Linked DNA regions of Sus scrofa. The protein of the gene in region 2 purifies or fractionates together with the protein of the main gene of each other region. This does not show direct contact. Links are inferred from orthologs where the notes say so. Each region holds a gene or a part of one and is shown on either strand. Other genes may lie near its edges. The genes, in order: DCAF7, MAP3K1 and AXIN1.

Evidence for each region.
Region 1: the proteins of MAP3K1 (region 2) and DCAF7 purify together in Homo sapiens (affinity purification with mass spectrometry; 3 studies listed by BioGRID and IntAct, with this or other methods). This does not show direct contact. The link is inferred for Sus scrofa from reciprocal best matches to the Homo sapiens genes MAP3K1 and DCAF7.
Region 3: the proteins of MAP3K1 (region 2) and AXIN1 purify together in Homo sapiens (affinity purification with western blotting; 5 studies listed by BioGRID and IntAct, with this or other methods). This does not show direct contact. The link is inferred for Sus scrofa from reciprocal best matches to the Homo sapiens genes MAP3K1 and AXIN1.

Annotation. Positions count from the first base shown.
Region 1 is NC_010454.4:15,348,065-15,352,366, forward strand, and holds the start of DCAF7 (DDB1- and CUL4-associated factor 7), read right to left. Parts: upstream 2,933-4,302; 5' UTR 2,681-2,932; coding exon 2,543-2,680; intron 1-2,542. UniProt on the Homo sapiens protein: Involved in craniofacial development. Acts upstream of the EDN1 pathway and is required for formation of the upper jaw equivalent, the palatoquadrate. The activity required for EDN1 pathway function differs between the first and second arches.
Region 2 is NC_010458.4:35,941,678-35,945,323, forward strand, and holds part of MAP3K1 (mitogen-activated protein kinase kinase kinase 1), read left to right. Parts: intron 1-115; coding exon 116-258; intron 259-963; coding exon 964-1,095; intron 1,096-2,813; coding exon 2,814-2,963; 3' UTR 2,964-3,646. UniProt on the Homo sapiens protein: Component of a protein kinase signal transduction cascade. Activates the ERK and JNK kinase pathways by phosphorylation of MAP2K1 and MAP2K4. May phosphorylate the MAPK8/JNK1 kinase.
Region 3 is NC_010445.4:41,368,825-41,372,470, forward strand, and holds part of AXIN1 (axin-1), read left to right. Parts: intron 1-3,098; coding exon 3,099-3,245; intron 3,246-3,646. UniProt on the Homo sapiens protein: Component of the beta-catenin destruction complex required for regulating CTNNB1 levels through phosphorylation and ubiquitination, and modulating Wnt-signaling.

The DNA.
Region 1 (4,302 bases), on a different chromosome or scaffold from region 2:
GTCAGAAGCCAGTTCCCTTAATAAAAAGAGCCCAAACCACTAGCCCAGGACAGACAAGCTCTCCTGCCCACTGCTTCCCTTAGCAGTATATTCACTAAACCTCTTCTAACCTACTTCTAAAAAAAATAAATAGTTTTGCCTTTTGCTATGCTCACGGCACTCGAAAGTTCTAGGGCCAGGGATCAGATTGAACCAGAGCCATAGCAGCAACTCAAGGCGATGCAGTGACGACACCGGATCCTTAACCCGCTGCACCATGAGAAAACTCCAAAAAATGTTTTTAGTAACTATGAGTCATATGGTTGGTTTCCTTTGTAATCCCATGTATTTTATGCATTTGAAAACATAATTATGAACAGAGGTCTATTGGCTTCCGACTGCCAAAGCTGTCCATCAAACACATATACACACACAAGAACTCTGACCTGGGGCAGGGGACACAAAAACCATTTTAAGACACCACGTTGCCCACATTACGCAAGTGAGTTAAGACAGAGGTAACTGCTTATTCTATTACTACTGGGATTATCAATTAGCATTTTACGACTAAAACCACACTGCCTGCGTGCCTGGCACAAAGAAGGAGCTCCATAATTGAAAGGATAAATTTGGGGGCAGAGTTCCTGCAACCAAAGTTTGACACCAATTACTCCACTGATTCTACCAGCAGCCTAACTGTGGCTTGGTTTCTCATCTCTTAGAAATGGGGCTGCTACTGCTTACCTAAATTGACCTTGCAAGAAAAAAAAATCCATCCGTCTGTGTGAAAAGACTCAAGCCCTTTGAAAGATGTATTTTACTACCACCCCCCCTTTGTTTAAACATGTATTCTTAAACAACAGTTCTAGTGCTCTCAACTTTACTAATTCAGTTTACACATCAGGACCCTGAATTTCACTTTAGCAGCTCTGCGGTCCACTATGTGCCATAAGGAAGAAAGAGGCTCCAGAAGAAAAATAAAGCTATGTCTTTTCAGGACTCTCTGGTTTCTGTGGGAAATCGTGGACTCCGAGATCAGTGCATACTTTCAGGGATTTGTTTGTAAAGTGTGTATGTGGGATGTCTGGGCAACAAGAGTCCATTGTTCTCATCAATTTCTCAAAAAGGATTACAAAAAATTTAAGACCTAATTTTTTTGGGGGGAGGGAAGGCATACATACAGCATATGGAAGTTCCCAGGCCAGGGGTCAAATTGGAGCTGCAGCTGCCGGCCTACACCACAGCTCTAGCAACTTGGGATCCAAGCTGTGTCTGTGACCTACACCACAGCTCCTGGCAACGCCAGACCCTTAACCCACTGACCAAGGCCAGGGATCCAACCAGCCTCCTCATGGATCCTAGTCGGGTCGTCACTGCTGAGCCACAACCAGAACTCCTTAAGATCTAATTCTAAGATGTGCTCCTGAAAACCTGCAAACAAAATTACAATGCTCAAATGTTTTCTAAAGGACTTCTTTCCTACAACAAACTGTGGGTCAGAAATAATAAAACTTACCTATGCAGTGTCCCACAGCTAATCAGTGGACTAGACAAGGCCTAATCCTAGAGCACCTGGCCTTTTCCCCTGCACCATGCCTCTGCCCACAATTTATTCTTAAATTAGACTGTTCCTGGTGTCAAGCAGGTGTACAGGTTTTAAACACCACTAAGCATGGCTCTCAGTTGCTCTGATCACTATCAGTCAATCACAACGCTTACTCTAATACAATAAATGGCAAACTACGGAGTAATGGAAAGAAAATTCTTTCCACTAACTTATTCAACTTCCAAAACTAAATTTATGTGTCACTGCCAGCTTCAAGCTTCCTCCTATTAACCGCGCTTCTAAAAAGGATTCTCAAATTGTGGATGTCCAGAAAGACTTACTTCTACTCCAGGTTACTTGTCTGTATCAGCATGAAAGATGCCAAGAAAACAAATGGCAAGCATCACCCTTTTCTATGCAGAAGACAATAGCCATTGGCAAGATTTCCAAAAAGAGATAGCTTTGAAGAGGACGAATATGAGGCAGCAATAGCAATGGCAATCCCGGCAGAAAGGCTGGGGAAATCCAGGGAACAGGGGGCGGTGAAACCTGCTAAACAGTCCTAATAGAAATCTAGTGTGGCCAGGGGAGAAGGACCACGGGGCTCCAGCATCTTCTTCGCAGCCATCACTCCCTCATCCCTCCTCCGCCCCCCAACTGAAGCTGCAGGAGAGGAGGGGATAGGCGTGATAAACGGCACAGCTCTGCGCTGCAAACTTGGGTTTGAGACCTGTTTCCGTCACGCAATAGCTGTCTGACTGGGGCAAGTCACAACACGGTGCCTCAGTTCCCCCATCGGTAAAATGCGGGTAACTACACTCCTGACTACCCAGGAATGCTGCAAGGATTAAATGAGACGAGAGCGAAACCCTCTGCACAGGGCCAGACACAGAGGAACCGCTCCGTGGCGCTAAGGCAGGTCCGCAGGAGGGTCCTGGGGTCTGAGCTCCGGCCGGGAAAGGGCGCTCCAGGTGCCCGCGTCCCTCTAGCTGGGTTCCGAGCCCCTGCCCGGCCCACCTTGTTGTTGTACTCCTCCACGAAGCTGCCCAGCGCCAGGCGAAAGCGCTTGTCGGGCCGCACGCTCCAGTTCATGGCGTAGACGGTCCAGGGCGCTTCATACTTGTAGATCTCCTTCCGTTTGCCGTGCAGGGACATAGTGGCGGCGGCGGGGCCGCAGTGCGGGCCGGGACGGCAGCGAGCTGCGGCGGGCGGGGCGCGAATCGGGCAGGGAGTCAGGCCTGGGACGGAGGGGTCCGAAGGGAGGCGGGGCGGGGGCGGGTACGGACAGCCTAGCCCGGAAGCGGGGCCGCTGCTACAGACAACGACAGCCGAGCCCGACCCCCACTTTCAAACCTGCTTCGGCTCGGACAACAACCACCTTCCGTTTGAGACCCCGCCCCACCCTCTAGAACGGAAGCCACGCGACCCCCTCAGCGGCGCCGGCCGTTGGCTACCTGACACGTCCTTTCGAACGGCTCCTTCTCCTCATTGGCTAGTGTACCCGTAGCTTCTGAAACCTCCTTGCTATTGGTGCGTATGGTTGTCATTCCGATTACTTGCTCTGCCCAACTCCAGGGGGCAGGCGCTTTCACAGCCACAAAGGTCATTGGCTGACAAAGATGTCAGTCAGAGAGATAACGGCGCAGTGCGGGTGAATCGGGGTGTGGGCGGCTTAAAAGCTCGCGTACTGTGCAGCAGGCCTCCAAGTTCTAGGCCAAGTCTCTGAGAGTGAAACCTCTTACGTGACTGCTCTGACTTCCCCACTGCAGCTGCTATTCTGACCGGATTCTCCACGTTGGCGAGTGAAAATGAAAAGTCTGCCTTACGAGAGGGCCTGCTGCGTTTCGCGGCACTGAGCTCCCGGGCCTTGCGGACGGGCCTGCGCCGAAGGGAAACCCCTTTATTTCCCTGCTTCGCCAACGCCTCCTTTAAATTGGAATGTTGTTCTCCCAGCGTACCAAGGGCAGACGGCGGACACGCCGCTCTACTCAGGACCAGGCCAGCTTCAGTCAACCTTTCCTGGCCATTCTAGAAGTGCTTGGAATTAGAGGATTGGTCTTCAGCAGGCAGCAACCCCGCCAGCGTGGCTGTCAGCTTCTGTTTCCATCTTTTCCCACGAGCGTCCCAAGGCAAATGCTAATCTAGCCTTAAATATATAAGTGTCTTGAATTTGAAATGGGGAAGGGTCAGAATCTAGGTAACATCTCTTTATAATTTAAATGGTTTCCAATAATTTGCTTTCAACAAAACTAAGCAAAAAATTGTATTGAATTGTTAGATAATATATCATTAAATATAGTATTTAGTGGAGTTCCTGTTGTGGCTCAATGGAAACAAATCTGACTAGTATCCATGAGGACGCAGGTTCGATCCCTGCCCTCGCTCAGTGGGTTAAGGATCCGACATTGCCATGAGCTGTGGTGTAGGCCAGCGGCTACAGCTCTGATTCGATCCTTATCGTGGGAACCTCAATAGTTAGGGCACATGTGACCTTAAAAAGACTATATATATATAGTTTTTAGTGATAAAAGTGATTGTTAACAGAAAACTCAGAAAGAAGGACGCACGTTTGATCACCAGCCCCACACAGTGGGTTAAGGATCCAGGGTTGCCACAGCTGCAGTGTAGACGGCAACCGCAGCTGGGATCTGATCCCTGGCTAGGGAACTCCATATCCATGTGCTTCCAGGTGGCCAAAAAAAAAAAAAGAAAGAATTCAAAGAATTGAGTGACTGAGTGACACTGTTTAATGTAACAAACTCCTCACAGTCCTATCC
Region 2 (3,646 bases):
ATGTACTCTACTTCTTTCTTTTGTTGCTGTCCTATTTCATTAATAGTATTTTACTGAGTTTTTAATCTGTTTTTTGATTTTAACATATGAGGTCATTTGCGGTTTTTGTTGACAGGTGCCAATTTGCTAATTGACAGCACAGGTCAGAGACTGAGAATTGCTGATTTTGGAGCTGCAGCCAGGTTGGCATCAAAAGGAACTGGTGCGGGAGAGTTTCAAGGACAGTTGTTGGGGACGATTGCATTTATGGCACCTGAGGTGAGAAACAGCTTTGAGTGTGATGAAATATTTTGCAATTCTGTGTGACAGCATTATACCAAGTAATTCTGCAGTGTTATCCACTATGTGCTGACTAATTAGAAGTTTATGGCCCTAAAAACAAGGTTTTAATGATAGCCTTGATTTCAGACCATTAATCCCTGCCTTCCCATAGCCTTTAAGCAAATCTATTAAAACCTATTTCTAACAGAGAATTATTGGGTAATTTATAGTAGTTGTTTTGAACTCAACCCAAAGTACACATAATAGAAATTTTTTAAATTGTTCTCTATTACAAGAGGAGATGAGCACACAAAAGCAAATCTTAGTAGAAGCTTTAGAAGTAGTACCAGTTGTTTAAGCGTTGCTGCTTTGACCTTGGCCGCCTCTTCTGTTGTGTTTAGAACTCTTCATGTTCATACATAGTGATTATTGTCTTCTTGCCCTGTAGTTTGCTAAACGTACTGAGGTGGCTTTGAAATTCTATGATACAACCCTGCTTCAGGATCTCACAATTCTCCAAAATATTTTTGTTCCACATATGAGATAAAGTTTGTTAATGAAATAAATGAGACATCAGGTAGTCTATGGAATTGCTGTCTCAAGCACTGTTTTACTCTGAAGTAAAAAAACTAGAATCCATAACTACAGAATGGCTTTTTTTAATGAGTCATATTTCCAAATTAACCCTCGGCTTTATTTTAGGTCCTAAGAGGTCAGCAGTATGGTAGGAGCTGTGATGTATGGAGTGTTGGCTGTGCTATTATAGAAATGGCTTGTGCTAAACCACCTTGGAATGCAGAAAAACACTCCAATCATCTTGCTTTGATATTTAAGGTAATTGTGAGATAAATTACTTATTTTTGCTAAAATTGGCAAGGGGCAAATTTTCATGGGTTCTCCTTAACTATCAACCTAACGTGAAGGCATATCTTCCGTGAAATAAATACATGTTTATATCTCCAGGAATTTATGTGGTGTGGTGAATGTTGGCAGCATATACAGTCACTTCTCATTATTCATGGTAGTCAAGTCCCTGAATCTGCAAATACTGAACCACTGCTTCTGGATGAAATATGTATCTATATATGTATATATCAAACATTTGAATTAAAAAACTTGAAGCTCTTTACGTATTGCATGATCAAAAATTTTTTATTCTAATTTATTATGTCCTGTATTTTAAAAATTCACTCCTGGAGTTCCTGTCATGGCACAGCGGAAACTAATCCAATTAGGAACCATGAGGTTGCCGGTTTGGTCCCTGGCCTCGCTCAGTGGGTTAAGGATCCGGGGTTGCTGTGAGTTGCGGTGTAGGTCGCTGACACAGCTTGGATCCTGCATTGCTGTGGCTGTGGTGTAGGCTGGCAGTTGTAGCTCCAATTTGACCCCTAGCCTGGGAACCTCTGTATGCTGCAGGTGTAGCCCTAAAAAGCAAACAAAAAATAAATTAAAAAATTTCACACGTAAGTCAGAGGCCAAGTCTGTTCTACTTTGCTGACAACTCTCAAATCCATTCTCTCCATTTCTACCAGAGAATAGTGTAATGATTGAGATTTATTCTGCCCACCTTCTGTTTTCTTTTTTTTGTCTTTTTGTATTTTCTAGGGCCGCATCCACGGCACATGGAGGTTCCCAGGCTGGGGGTCTAATTCGTAGCCGCTGGCCTACACCACAGCCACAGCAATTCCAGATCCGAGCTGCGTCTGCGACGTACACCACAGCTCACAGCAACGCTGGATCCTTGACCCATTGAGCGAGGCCAGGGATCGAACCCGCAACCTCATGGTTCCTAGTCGGATTCGTTCACCACTGAGCCACAACAGGAACTCCTTGTTTTCTTATTGATAAAATGGATATAATAGTAGCACCTACTTCATTAATTATTTATATTATGAGGATAAACAGAATTACCTCTGGGCCTGAATAAAGCACTTGGCATACATAGTCACCTCTGTGCAGAGTGGCTAGTATTAGTCCTCTGAGCTGACCCCCAGCACCTCTCACCTGCCCTAACCTCCTTCTGTCCTCCCCATGCTGATATAACTTCCTCAGTCACCTGAAAAATATCAGTGCAGTTGTGTTTCTGATGTACTAAATTGACTGGCCAGGTGTAGTCTTACTTACTCTGAATAGCTCTCTGCGCTAAAATATATATATATATATTTTTTTCATATATATAAATGAAGCAAAGAGGGCAGACTCTTTTGGAGAGTGAATATGAGGAAAGCAGAATTGATCTGAATGAATACTTTACTTCTCTAATAATTCTGATGCACTTAGCCTTGTTCATTTACGACAATAAAGAGAATTTGTAGTACCATCTGATCAGGATGCGTTTGGTCAAAGTCTAAAATCCTAAAATTTGAAGGAAACCTCTCATCCATGGGTGAGTTTTTCCATAGACTCCTTGTTAGCAAAAGCCCGCCCACTTCTGTTTTAATTCCTCTAGGTACAGGATGCCTCAACAGAGGTTATGAAATATATGCCACATGTGATTCTTTATCAAAAGTTCCAGTTGTCGGGAGCTTTAACACGAGGGTTTTCTCTTACAGATTGCCAGTGCAACTACTGCTCCATCAATCCCGTCACATCTGTCTCCTGGTTTACGAGATGTGGCGCTTCGTTGTTTAGAACTTCAACCTCAGGACAGACCTCCGTCGAGAGAGCTACTGAAGCATCCAGTCTTCCGTACTACATGGTAGCCATTATACAAACAAACTATAATGGAGACAGGATGCTTAACAAGAGAAAAAACTTTTGTGGGGAACCACGTCGATAATCTACTGGCCTTTGTGCCACTGAACAGCTATGAATGAGAACAGTGGGGAACCCTTACCTAAGTATGTGATTGACAAATCATGATCTGTACCTAAGCTTAGTATGCAAAAGTCCACAATTTGTGCAGAAACTGTAAACCGTGCCTTTCAAAGAACTGGCCGTAGGTGAACAGGAAAGCAATGAAGTTTGCATGACTAATTAACAGAAGCATAATTTTTTTGGAGCACTTTTTCAGCAATATTAGCAGCTGAGGGGCTCAGGATCAATTTTAATGTTTCAATTATTCTTCCATTTCATATTGTGGTCACAAGCAAGGGGTTCTGCAGTTCTTTTTTTTTTTTTTTGGTCACTGGTTATAAAAATCATCTGCCTCTTTTAGGTCAGAATATGCTATAAGTAGCAGAAATAAATATATTTTTTAAAAGTTGATAACTTCTTTATGACCTACAGTTGACCTTTATTTTTTTAAATACCTGGGCAATTGTGGTTCATTGTGCATTTTACTGTTGGCCAATTCATTTCTTTTTTGGAAATTATGGTTCTATATTTTCATTTCACCTTCACTTTTGTTTAATATTCAGGGAAAGGTGATCTTTTCAAACCAGAA
Region 3 (3,646 bases), on a different chromosome or scaffold from region 2:
GTGGCACAGTGCTGGTACCCGGCCAGGAGGGCTCCACACAGGCTCCGTCTCTCCTCGGGTCTCTCTCGGCTTCCGGGTCTGGAAGGAGCTTAATCGCTGTTCGCATTCCTGCCCCAGCCCCGCTCTGTCCGCTGGGCTGTGATCTTGGCCCCGCCCGGCCTGTGGCAAGTGCCTTTCCTGCTTAACCTCGCTTATGGCTGGGCCACCCTTGGAGTGGCACAGGACACCTCTTGTGCCTGGTGCTGCTGGGCAGCTGTCAGCTGCTGGAGCAGCGGTGGGCGCCTCGCACCAGTGTATGCACCTGCATCGGGCCAGGGCCCTGTGACCTGAAGGGATCAAGGTCCCACCGGTTGGGGACTCCAGGGGCCAGTAAACACCAAAATAGAACTCTGGGAGGTGTTTGGTTTGGCTGCTTTTATGTGGCCAGGTTATAACATTAAAAAAACAGAAACAAAGTGCACCTTATCTGCTCCTCAGAGACCTCCCTGCTTGCCTGGGGAAGTTGTTGTGGCGCGGAGGGCCTGGCCCCTGCTGTTTCCCCCAGGCCGACGTGGAGGTGGAGTGCGTGGCACAGGGCCTGTCTTATCCCAAGAACAGAGGCTTGCTTGTCACACTGCGTGTGGGAAATCACTGAGGGCTGGGTACCTGAGCGGTTCTGGGAGGCTGTGCGGACGCTGGTAAGCCACTTAAGCCATTATTTTTTGCGAAACAAATGGGCATGATTTGAAGCACAAATAGTATGTGCCTGAATTTCCGAGTGTGGATCCCGAGACTTCTGCTCGGGGCTGCTGGCCGAGGAGGTACAGAAGTGCTTCTGTGGGGCTTTGCCGGCAGCGAGCTCCCGGGTCAGGCTGCAGGTGGGCCGGAGGGCGGAGAGGCCTGCCTGGTGTTTGGCCTGCCTGGTGTTCGGCCTGGGAGCAGCGAGACTTAGGGATCCTCTTCCATCCAGAGGGTTTCCGGAGTAGGAGGCCTCACACCTGTGGTTTTGGACAGGCGGGCAGTCCATGCAAACCTCCTGCCGAGAAGAGCTAGAAACGCTGGACCTGGGTTTTCTTAATCGAGTTGCAGCAGTCGGAGAGCTGAGCACACAGGAAGGGTCGAGAGCCCTGGTCAGGCAGGCGAGCTGGGTAGTGTGTCTGGCCCTAGGGGTCCAGGCGGCTCAGGCCTGCCTGGGAAGGGGTTCCCCCTGCGGGGGGTGGACTCTCTGTTCCTGACTTGGGTTAAGGTGGCTGGGTTCCCGGGTCTCATGCACATGCTCTGGAGAGCGCCACATCCTAGGCTGCGGGTTCAGAAGAATTTCCACTCACGGTGTCTGGCTTTCCATCCAGAATAACCAGATGCTGAATGAAAAATCAGGCACATAATGGAGTTCCCGAGGTGGCACAGCGGGAACATATCCGACTAGGAATCATGAGGTTGTGGATTTGATCCCTGGCCTCGCTCACTGGTAAGGATCCGGCGTTGCCGTGGCTGTGGTGCAGGCCGGCAGCTGTAGCTCCGATTCGACCCCTAGCCTGGGAACCTCCATATGCTGTGGGTGCGGCCCTAAAAAGCAAAGAAAAAAACCCCAGGCACTTAAAGATCCAGAATGATGATGTAGTTCCCGTCGTGGTGCACTGGTTAACGAATTCGACAAGGAACCATGAGGTTGCGGGTTCGATCCCTGTCCTTGGTCAGTGGGTTAAGGATCCGGTGTTGCTGTGGTTGGTGTAGGTTGCAGACGTGGCTTGGAGCTCTTGTTGCTGTGGCTGTGGTGTAGGCCAGTGGCTACAGCTCCGATTAGACCCCTAGCCTGGGAATCTCCATATGCCGCAGGAGCAGCCCTAGAAAAGGCAAAAAGATTAAAAAAAAAAAAGAGAGAGAGAGAGAGAGAGATACAGGATGATGATAAAAGCCTTGTGGATCCAGATAATAGCACAGCTCACAGACACCTTCTTGGTGGAGACCCGTCAGGGCTGGGGCAGGGGGCGGGGAGTGTTCACAGAGCAGAGATGAAGGCAGAGGATTATAATCCACTGCATAAAGTACCAACTTGCGCGTCCACACTGACGCAAATACACATGGAGAGAAAAAGAGCCTGCCTTAGAGTTTCCAGACACCAGCTAATAAATAGAGGTCCAGAAGTTCCCACTGTGGCGCACAGGTGAATGATCTGCCTGGTCTCTGCGGAGGCTCCACACTGTGGGTTAAAGATCCGGCGTCGCTGCGGCTGTGGTGTAGGTTGCAGCTCCAGCTCAGATTCCATCCCTGGCCCTGGGACTTGATGTGCTGTGGGGTTGGCCATAAAAGGAAATAAAACACCCCCAAAACAATGAAGGTAGACCAGTTGATGGGTATGCATAGAATTTGTGTGTGAGCCTAAAGTATCTCCCCACACGTCACCTCTTATGCACAAAGGGAAAAGAACAAACCCAGGGAGTTCCCCTTGTGGCTCTGTGGGTTAAGAACCCGACTCGTATCCATGAAGATGCAGTTTGATCCCTGGCCCCACTCAGTGGGTTAAGGATCTGGCTGCGAGCTGTGGTGTAGGTTGCAGATGTGGCTCAGATCTGGCGTGGCTGTGGCTGTGGTGTAGGCTGGCGGCCTCAGCTCTGATTAGACCCCTAGCGTGGCAACTGCCATATGCTGTAGGGTGTGGCCCTAAAAAGACAGGAAAAAAAAAAAAAGGAAGAAAGGAGCGGAGTTCCTGCTGTGGCGCATGGGTTGGGGATCCAGCTCAGATTTGATCCCTGACCTGGGAACTAACTTATGCTGCGAGTGCGGCCAAAGAAAAGGGTACGGGGGGGAATCAAGACAGTTTAAGACCAGCAGACGTTGAGGAAGCTGTCACCAGCAGCCTGTTACCGAAGGTCCCGTTTAAGGTGTTGGGGCCGAAGGGAGAGCGGGTGGGGGGCAGGAGTGTGGGGAGCGCGAGGTGACTGTGGGGACAAGGCAGTGCCGGCAATGCTGGTGGGTTTCGTTTGTTTGCTTGCTTTTTTAGTGGCCGTGCCCACGGCATGTGGAAGTTCCTGGACCGGGGACCTACTCCTTGCTGCAGCTGTGGCGGTGCTGGATCCCTTAACCCAGTGCAGTGAGGGTCTCTGTTGTCATCTCTGCAGGAGCCACGGAAAGAGTAGTGGCAAGATGACTTTATTCCAGGGAGGGACGGAAAGTAAAAGGTTCTCCAGGAGCTCCCGCCGCGGCTCAGCGGTTAACGAACCCGACTGGCATCCACGAGGACGTGGGTTCAAGCCTCACTCAGTGGGGTAAGGATCCGGCGTTGCCGTGAGCTGGGGTGTAGGTGGCAGATACAGCTCGGATCCCGCGCGGCTGTGGCTGTGCCGTAGGCCGGCGGCTGCAGCTCCAGTTTGTCCCCTAACCTGGGAACCTCCATATGCCACGGGTGCAGCCCTAAAAAGCAAAATTTAAAAAAAATAAAAATTGAAAAAGAAGTCAGGAAGAACGAAAGAAAATAGCAGATCCGACACACAGAAAGCCAAGAATAGGATAGTGGATCCACTCACTGAGACCACTCTGAATGCAGCAGGAGCAAGTGATGCAATTAAAAATGGAAATGAATCCGACTAGGAACCAGGAGGTTGCGGGTTCGCTCCCTGGCCTCACTCAGTGGGTTAAGGATCCGGCGTTGCCGTGAGCTGGGGTGTAG